Daphnia pulex: one gene and its partner. The protein of the gene in region 1 interacts with the protein of each later gene in a biochemical or structural test. Links are inferred from orthologs where the notes say so. Each region holds a gene or a part of one and is shown in the gene's direction. Other genes may lie near its edges.

Region 1 (4,427 bases):
CCCTGGTAACGAAACGACAATAAGAAATAGAAACTAGAAACAAACTCCAAACTTAAAATAATTGTTTTGTCTACTTACTCGATACTTGTCCTGTTTCCTAGCGTTTCGTGCTTTATAATTTGTCGATCACCGACAGTTTGTTTCATACTCATTTGAATTACTGGTTCAGGTTCCAGCAGTACAGGCTCATTAGTGGACAAATTACAATCATCAGGAGTCGAGTTGTCGCTAACCTGTTCTAAACGTCGTTTACGCATCCATTGGTTTTTATATACATCCAAAGGCCTGCCACAATATCGTACCTACATCATTTAAAAATCTGAACTAAATTTACTGAACTTGATAACGAGAATTTAAACATATTTTATGCTTACTGATGACCAACCACAACCATATTTCTGTTCGGGATTAACAATTTTTTTGCAGCGCAAGGCCCACGCCGAGGGTGAACTAAAGACTTCTTGAACTTCAGCAGAAAAAATTTTTCCATCTGCCAGTAAGTCCCCATTAAATTTTTGTCCCTAAATAAATTCACATAGGGAATAGAAGTTTTAAACTTGGAAGATAAGAAATCTAAAAGAAATATCGTATAATGTTTACCATGTACTCTAGTGACATAGCACCTTCTTTTGGTTGAAGGATGTTATCTTCAAGTAACATTTGCAATGTGACTCCTCTACCAGTAAATCCACCAGCAGTTTTGGACTTTTTCTCATTCAGTTCTTCATCTTCATTGCCATCCATGTTATCCTGTAATTTTTGTCATAAAATTGTTATTCATTGGAATTTTAATAGCACAAAGTATTATTAATTAATTACCTCTCCTTCCATTTCAGGATCTAATGTTGCATTGTGGGTTTCAGACATGTTACATTGCTCATTTGTGTGTTCAACACTAACTGATGTGATCTTTTGTTGTTCTTGAGGATCTGCTTGATCACTAATACTTGAGTCTTCTGATGCTTCAATCATGCTTATGCCCTGTATTAAGAACACAGCTTTAATATTGCTAAACAAAAGGTTTACAACTAAAAAGAATTAAATTTGAAAAATATTTGTTTATTTGAAGTAGATTAATTGAAAAAAGGACTATTAGAAGAACTAAAAAACACTTAACTAAAAATTCATATTTTAGAATTACGCGCCTTTTTTATTAATTGTTATTAAAAAAACGTCTGATTTACCTATTCCAGTACCATAATTACAATTACAACCACGTTATTTCGAACAATCTAGGCCAAATGACAGTAGTTAATACATTGCAACACTTAAATTTACCTGAATAAATAACTTGTTGACAATTTCGAAAGCAAATTGTCCAAGTGCGGTTTAATAATAAGATTGATAAAACTGACCGTTGAAATGTCAAAAAATGTCAAAACTGAAGCATCACGATTTGAATCAATTCATCGAATATCGTAGATTGATCGATACTTAGTGAAGGCGATACAGCGATACTCGAAACGGTTTGGTTAAAAAGAGGAAGGGGCAAAAAAAACTTTGTGTTACATTAAAACGTAAGCTCCGACGGCAATTTGGTGGAATTATTTTGACTTAAATTGATTTCCGTCCATGGGAATTCAAACTTGATTGTATATCTTCATAGATTTCATATGTTAACTCATTACTAGTCAACATGTTGGTACAAGAACCTGTCCAGGTTAGTAACATGTTAATCAATGATGTTTAGTGATCTAAAAATTGCATATATTTAGGGTGTACAATGAAGGGGGTTTCTTTGTATGCCAGTTTTTGGTTCATTTTCAATAATGGTTAAATTTTTCTAAAATGCAGGCGGCTATCTGGCATTGTCTTAATCACTACAACTATTGGAATGCTACTTTTCTTGCTGAGAAACTTCAGGATGAAAGTATTATGTGTATACTTAATTTGTAAAGGTTATTTTTCCATAAATCTTATGTTTCTTTCAGTTAATAATGAGGAAAGCTTGTATCTTCTGGCCACTTGCTACTATCGGTCAGGAAAAGCGAATCAAGCAAGAAGTTTACTGCAATCAAAAGGAACTCAGTCGCCACAATGTCAATATCTGTTAGCCAAATGTTGTTTAGATCTGAATAAGTATGTGGTTATTCTCATTGAAAATAATTAAAATCTAAAGAATGTGTTTTTTTTTAGGCTTGCTGAAGCAGAAGGAACATTGATGGGTGGAAATATTTTCAAACAAAAATCTTTGGATGATGTTGTGACTGAATTTGGAGATGCTGCTGCTTTTGCCCTAGTTTTGTTGGGTCAAGTTTACATGCAGACAGAACGAAAGTTCAAAGCTATAGAAGTACTCAACAGAGCTCTTAAGCTTAATCCATTCCTGTGGGCTGCTTTTGAGCTTCTTTGTCGGCTTGGTGAAAAACCAGATGCAGAAGATGTCTTTCAGTTAGAGGGATTGGATAATTTCTCTCATTGTCATGGAACAAACCCAATAGCTTCATTGATCACTGCTCAGATCAATCAATCACATGATGCAACCACTAAAGTACATCCTCATGAACCAATGTCTGTTGACCAAATCTCCACTCCTATACTTCAAGTCCCTGCAGCTGATGTTATAGTAAACACAAGGTAAACATGGCATATTATTTAAAACACAAATTATTTTGAGATTTAATCACCATTTCTTTACACAACTTGTGTATTTTACTATATTTCTAGCACTCCCCTACCATGTGTGCCTCTTATTCATCACAATATACCTAATTTGACACCAGATGATCAAATGATTCCCTCTATACCGTTGACGAGTACCATGGCTCCAACACGTTCCAGAGCACGGTCGTTCCGGCTTCGATCAGTCTTTAAAGCCGGTCAAGCGCTGTCTCCCATGTCCCCCAAGTATAATTTAAGTTTCCATTCACTTGATGACACTTTATTTAATTTACGTAATTTAGTTTTGGCATCATACCTTTGGATATGTCTTCAGCAAGCGATGCTTCTCAAAGTTCGATGGTCTATTTGTGTCCCTCGCTAGCCCCACCGGTCTCTGAAACAAAAGAAGCAAAGATAATGCCTAAACGGGTATGATTTTTTTCCTTTTAAACAAATAATATAGAGTGTTTCATAATCTCTCCAAATGCTTATGCTGTTTTTAGTTGGGTGGTCGTCGTGAAGCAGCTAGCACTGCTCCAAGCGCGCCTTCACGTATGGGAGTTTTCTGCCAATCCGGAAATACAGCTACACCGACATTGTCTTCACCCCCAGCCGCTAACGTGAGGAGAAGTACACGACTTTACAGGTTTCAGTAACATTTGTGTATATATAAATTCGTATATTATTAATTAACGTATTCTATTTTGATCACAGTTCGAACAATTCCGTTAAGGAGAATAACAAAAGTAGCTCTCGTTTTGTTGTGCCCAAGTTGCCACTGAAGCGTAGCAAATCCAAACTTACTAAAGGTGATACCCCGGAAAGCGGATTAGCACCTATTAGCGATTTTCCAGAGCTAGTAGGAAAAATGGATAGAGAGGATGAGAAACAAGCTACCCTACCTACTCATTTAACTTCGGTGCAGACTCCACCATCAAATTTGATTCAAGAGGCAGTCCAAATGCAAAAGCAGTCAGCTGAAGGACTTATGTCTCTTCTTCGGATTGTAGGCAAAGCATTTTCACACCTGACTTCATATGAGTCTCGTCAAGCGATTGACACAATAGAATGGCTCTCCGCACGCCACAAAAGATCAAGCTGGGTCCTCTCTCTTATGGCTAAAGCTTACTTTGAACTGGCAGACTACAAGCAAGCTACTAGGTTAGTTTTACTTTTATCTTGTGTAACAGTTTGACAGGAAATTGACAGATATTTTTTAATTATTAAGGTTGTTTCAAGAAGTGCGTGAAATGGAGCCATATCGCACTGATCTGATGGAGTATTATAGTACTGCTCTCTGGCATCTGCAGCAAGAAGTGTCACTCTCGGCATTAGCACAAGACATGCTGGAACAAGACAAAATGTCAGCTGCGACTTGGTGTTGTGCCGGAAATTGCTTGGATTTGCAGAAAGATCGCGAACAAGCTCTAAAGTTTTTCCAACGAGCAATCCAAGTTGATCCTAAATTTGCTTATGCATACACTCTTTTGGGTCATCAGTATCTTGCCCTCGAAGAAACGGAGAAAGCCATGGATTGCTTTAAAAATGCTGTGAGAGTTGATCCTATTCATTATAACGGATGGTAAACCTTCTTTAACAAAGCAGCATTAATTGATTTGTTCTAACTTTTTGTTTGTGAAAAGGTACGGTATGGGAATAATTTACTACAAACAAGAGCGCTATTCGATGGCAGAATTTTACTTCAAGAAGGCACTGGATATCAATAAAAACAGTCCAGTGCTAAAATGCCACGTCGCCATTGTGGAACATGCGCTTCAAAGGACCGATAAGGCACTTCAAATGCTCAATTCAGCACTTCTAGTAGA
Region 2 (4,478 bases), on another chromosome or scaffold:
CTTATCTGGTGAATGGAAAGGAGAATTACGCGATTGCCGTTGAATTGATGAGTGTCGGCCTGCATCAAGAAACGCGCGATTCAAGCGTCTCACATTCGGTCAAAGCGAAACCAATGATCTAATCTCGGCCCGACAGTCATGTATACAAACGGTCATGTCAAATAACGGAAAAATCACTGCCAGACTAAAAATAGGAACTAGTAAAGACAACAAATCCGAATCGCCTAAAAAAAAGAATGTTGGAATAATATTCAATCTCTGTTGAATATAGGATGAAGCTTGCTTGTTGGCTAGGCACGGATGAACTCTCCTTTCTCCTATTATTTCGAGTCTATATCGACGGTGGTTGCTATGCATTACCCCGCCGTTCGCAGTGTCCCCCCGGAGTCACCTCAAACCGACCAGAACGTTGGTGGTCCCGCTAGACTGCTGCATTGAATACAAATAAGATCCAACTCCATAATCGTGCCTTTTTTTCCAGTCTCTAGAGTCCAACGAATAACGAGCACTGATACGCATAATCCACAATCATTGAACTGTGTGAACAGGAGAACGTCAGCAAGCAAAAGAAAGTAGTTGTGTGGAAATCGAAGTTCTTGTTGCTCCTCATCCTCTTCAGGAGCACTATATAGGCTAGGTACTGGTACAATATACATTTAGAGAAGATGATTTTTCTTATTTGGATATCGACTTTTTCTTTCTCCCATCTGACTACGTGTTTTTTTTTATTTCGTTTACAAGTTGCTACGAAAACACAATCGTCTAGACGTAAAAGCACAAATTCGCTGATAACGAATAAATAATGAATCAATGTTGTGCCACTCCGAAGGAGCAGAAGTGTTCCCCCCGCGCGTGAGAGCTTCTGCACATTGCACGAAATGGGAGACCCCGTCAACGCCCACACGTTTTCCTAAGGCTAAGTGCGGTAAAATATTAGGCAACTGCTACTGTATATAGCAGCATGACGTTTTATTATTATCAACGACCGGCGACAAGACAAGCAGAAAACAGAGCAAACTCTCATGAAGGTAAATAATCGTGTCGCAAAGGGAGTTCGTTATTTTCCGATCGATTTCTTTAGCACCCGCGAACGCACGGGAGCGATGCTTCGCTTAATCCTCGATGCCTAAGAATAGCGCTCATTTTTTACGTGGTGAGGTTATCAACTGGGTTTCTGTTTGGCCAAGAGATTATCCTATTTGCCAGAAACCCGAATTCAATTTCGCATCCATTTACGGATAGACGAGCTTATGCTTGTTGAAAAGATGCGGCGGCAAATGCCTTAAAAAAATAAATTTGGGGAGACATTCTATCACACTGTGTGGCTATTTATTCAGTTAACGAACTACAGCCATGGACGTCAAGAGCCATGCGATACAATTGGCCTCCAGTGGTGACTGAAATAAAAAGCGAATAACGTTGAACACTTGAAGGTAACACGTAATAAAAAGGTAGAATTCAAATCTGAATGTTTCCAGGCAGTTTAAAAATCGACCGCTAGATGTACTCAAGTTGCCTAGAGAAGAAACCGAAAAAAAGTTCGAAAAGTTGTAAATACATGTTCCTTAATTTCTGTCTAATCGAGATTGTCGTGTAAAAACACAATCAGCTTAAAATGGTGTCGTGTATGATGAGACAGAGTGACGAAAAACACATTCTTGGAACTGCGTCAACAGAAATCCTTTTGTGGTCTTCCAGACGAGATCTGATTGCCGTCTCAAACAGCTCTGGTGAAAACTTGCAATCCTTCTTTTTCCCATTGTGTTACTATGATAATAAAATTTGTTTTGTATGTTATTTTCTTGTAGGTGAGGTTTTTCTGAGAAGGTTGTCATGGAGCAAAGTTTGGAAGCTTTCTAAAAGAGGTGATGGTGTCAAAGTCACAGCGATCGTTTGGAGACCAGACAGTGTGATACTAGCTGTAGGATACAGTTCTGGGCATGTGGTTCTAGTTGACGTTGAATCTGGAGAAGTAGTACACACATTCAACCCATGTGAGGAACCCATCACAGCTCTTTCCTGGGAAAACTGCAGCACAAGTGTGAAAGAAGAGGCAGACAATTTTTTGCTGCCAGAACTGCTGCCTCAACCATTGAAAGTTAACTCTTCAAAGCTAGATGCTGGGTCAGCACTTGATGGCGACAAAGGATTGAAACATGAAGAATTACTGAGCATTTTGTGGATTGGACTAAAGAATGGGTTAGTTTACGGATTCGCCTTTGGACTCTTTCCTTGCTGCCTTCTAAAACTTTCAGAAATGAGTGGTGGGAGCGATTCAATCGGACCTGTACGAAGTGTTTTCCCGAATGGTGATCACAGCCAACTGTGTTTACTAGCCGATGTTCGTGCCGGATCCTCAGAAGTTTTACTCATGACTGTGGAAACCCCACTCATAACTCATTGTTTGAAAGAGTTGTACGGTCTAGGATTTCTCTATCGGCAGATAACTGGCCTCATGGACTGCCTAATCAGTGCTCAGAAAGCTCTACAAGAAGCCTGGGAGGATGCACTAGTCGACCTCGAATCGAAAATGGTTCGCTATGAAAGCAACGACGGCAAGAGTAGCTTATCTGTCGACTTGATGGAGCTCCTGATGTTTGGCCACGCCGGGATCAAGCTGGAGAAATTTCTTGTTACCGATTTGACTGACAAAGGATTGAAACGAATCGGCCAAGCCGTAGAGTTATCCTATAGCAACATGCAGAAACTGCTCATCAAACACATCGTGTGTGCCAACTACCAACTGTCGCACTATTTGACACAACTTTGCGGGCTGGCCAAACAAGAAGATCGTTTCTCATGCCTCGGCCTCCAAGTCAATTCGTGTTTAGCTGCATACCGGGCGGCCGGCTCTTTTACCGCCAAAACCGCTGAGCTTCAACAGGTGATCGATGGTTCTGTCAAGTACCTCAAGACATTCTTCCGCTGGCTTTACGTTACCATCTTGCGCCTCTCGGACGAGCCTATCCCACCCGAGCTTGCCACCAGTACCCAGCAAGATGTACGGTTTATCGCCAACTTCCTCGCCAAAGATTTTGAGACCGATGGACAAGTACGTCTGGATCGTATTGGGCAATATTTGAGGAATGAGCCGTTGACTTTTGTTGCCAGCTCTAAAACTAGACCCTGGGACATGTTGATAGAAGCTTGTCCATCTATTGCGAATCTTCAGGACTCGGACTTATTTCAACCCCGTGCTGAACGCTCTCTTGCTCAAGAGTTCGCCCATTTGGAACATCAGGTCAAAGCCAGTTTCGAAGCTATCCCTTCAGCTGTTGGACAGACTGCGTCGTTGCCGTTTATCACCGACCTGACGTTAGATTGTCCTTCGGACAGTCTGGACAAGATCAGAATCACAACACGATCCATCAACCAACCAAAAGATCGGTGTAATCTTCTTGGCTTGACAAATTCGACCACTCATTCTTCAGGATTTTACCTGTTTGAATTCGCCTCCGAGAAGGAACGTAAGAACTTGACTCGAGCAGCATTCTTCTCCTTTGGCAAGTGCGACCATCTACCTCCTGGCGAATATAAAATAGCTGATCTGCAGTTCTATAACAACGAGATTATGTCAGTTTTGCTTTCGATCGAACGCAGCACGAATAGCATCTTCGTACAACTCAGTCTATGTCTGTTACGCGAACATTTGGCTCCCGTTGTGTCACGGCGAGGACCTTTTAACTCGTCCTTCCATTCAGACGTTTTCGTTTCATCAGTTCTCAGCCAAGGCAATCTTCGATCAGTGGATGTCAATACCTTTATTGAAGCAAGCTCGTTTCGTGTCTTAAACGACTTTCAGGCTACTACCCTCGGTCTATCGTCCAGTCGAAAGGTTGCCGCTATCTTTTCTTCGTCAAAAAGGAAGGTTCGCATATTTGACATGGAAGTTGAAGAGGAAGAAGACGTCGAAGACGAGGATCAGGACATTGAGGATGTTTCAGACTTATCGCACGGTACGTAAAAGTGAAAACCTGGTTAACTTTCAAATTGTTTATTATTAACAAGGTATGTTAATGGAATGGCATTTTTATCGCAGATATATCAAAAGATGGAGGAAATCAAAAGGATATCAGCGACGTGGATATGGCCGTCTCTCCCTGATGGACTATTAGGACCAAACATCTTGCTGACAGTTCATCAGATGAAATCGTCCATGTGTTCGTGATGCCTCTCTCGAGATAGGAGTTTTAGTTCCACTCCATCGAGAGTTAAAGCATCTTGAAGTTGAATTTCCACGTTGTAAGCGTTTGCCTATAATTGTTAATAAAATTGCATATCAAAACGAAATTGAACTGTAGCTTTTATGAAACTTACTAATTGCAGAGTGGCGAGAAAATATCTGGCTACTTCGTTTTTCGGTTGGTCATGAACAATTTTGGTAAAAGCACATTGGCTTCCTATAGGCGCATCAGACCCGAATTCCTCTATAATGCGACTTCCATAAAGGTGAATATCAAAATCACGACGCGTTTCGG

The links.
Region 2: the proteins of cell division cycle protein 27 homolog (region 1) and anaphase-promoting complex subunit 4-like form a complex in vitro, tested with the Homo sapiens proteins (2 studies listed by BioGRID). The link is inferred for Daphnia pulex from reciprocal best matches to the Homo sapiens genes CDC27 and ANAPC4.

The regions. Positions count from the first base shown.
Region 1 is NC_060018.1:4,689,253-4,693,679, reverse strand, and holds the start of cell division cycle protein 27 homolog, read left to right. Parts: upstream 1-1,437; 5' UTR 1,438-1,636; coding exon 1,637-1,660; intron 1,661-1,794; coding exon 1,795-1,870; intron 1,871-1,931; coding exon 1,932-2,079; intron 2,080-2,136; coding exon 2,137-2,577; intron 2,578-2,667; coding exon 2,668-2,847; intron 2,848-2,903; coding exon 2,904-3,030; intron 3,031-3,104; coding exon 3,105-3,247; intron 3,248-3,315; coding exon 3,316-3,762; intron 3,763-3,829; coding exon 3,830-4,183; intron 4,184-4,244; coding exon 4,245-4,427. Other genes in the region: MPN domain-containing protein-like, read right to left, coding at 1-2, 79-302, 375-521, 601-750, 820-972. UniProt on the Homo sapiens protein: Component of the anaphase promoting complex/cyclosome (APC/C), a cell cycle-regulated E3 ubiquitin ligase that controls progression through mitosis and the G1 phase of the cell cycle.
Region 2 is NC_060021.1:8,253,934-8,258,411, forward strand, and holds anaphase-promoting complex subunit 4-like, read left to right. Parts: upstream 1-1,362; 5' UTR 1,363-1,615; coding exon 1,616-1,730; intron 1,731-1,808; coding exon 1,809-3,956; intron 3,957-3,978; exon of another isoform or gene 3,979-4,039; coding exon 4,040-4,104; 3' UTR 4,105-4,140; coding exon of another isoform or gene 4,141-4,254; 3' UTR 4,255-4,290; downstream 4,291-4,478. Other genes in the region: condensin-2 complex subunit H2-like, read right to left, coding at 4,141-4,254, 4,318-4,478. UniProt on the Homo sapiens protein: Component of the anaphase promoting complex/cyclosome (APC/C), a cell cycle-regulated E3 ubiquitin ligase that controls progression through mitosis and the G1 phase of the cell cycle.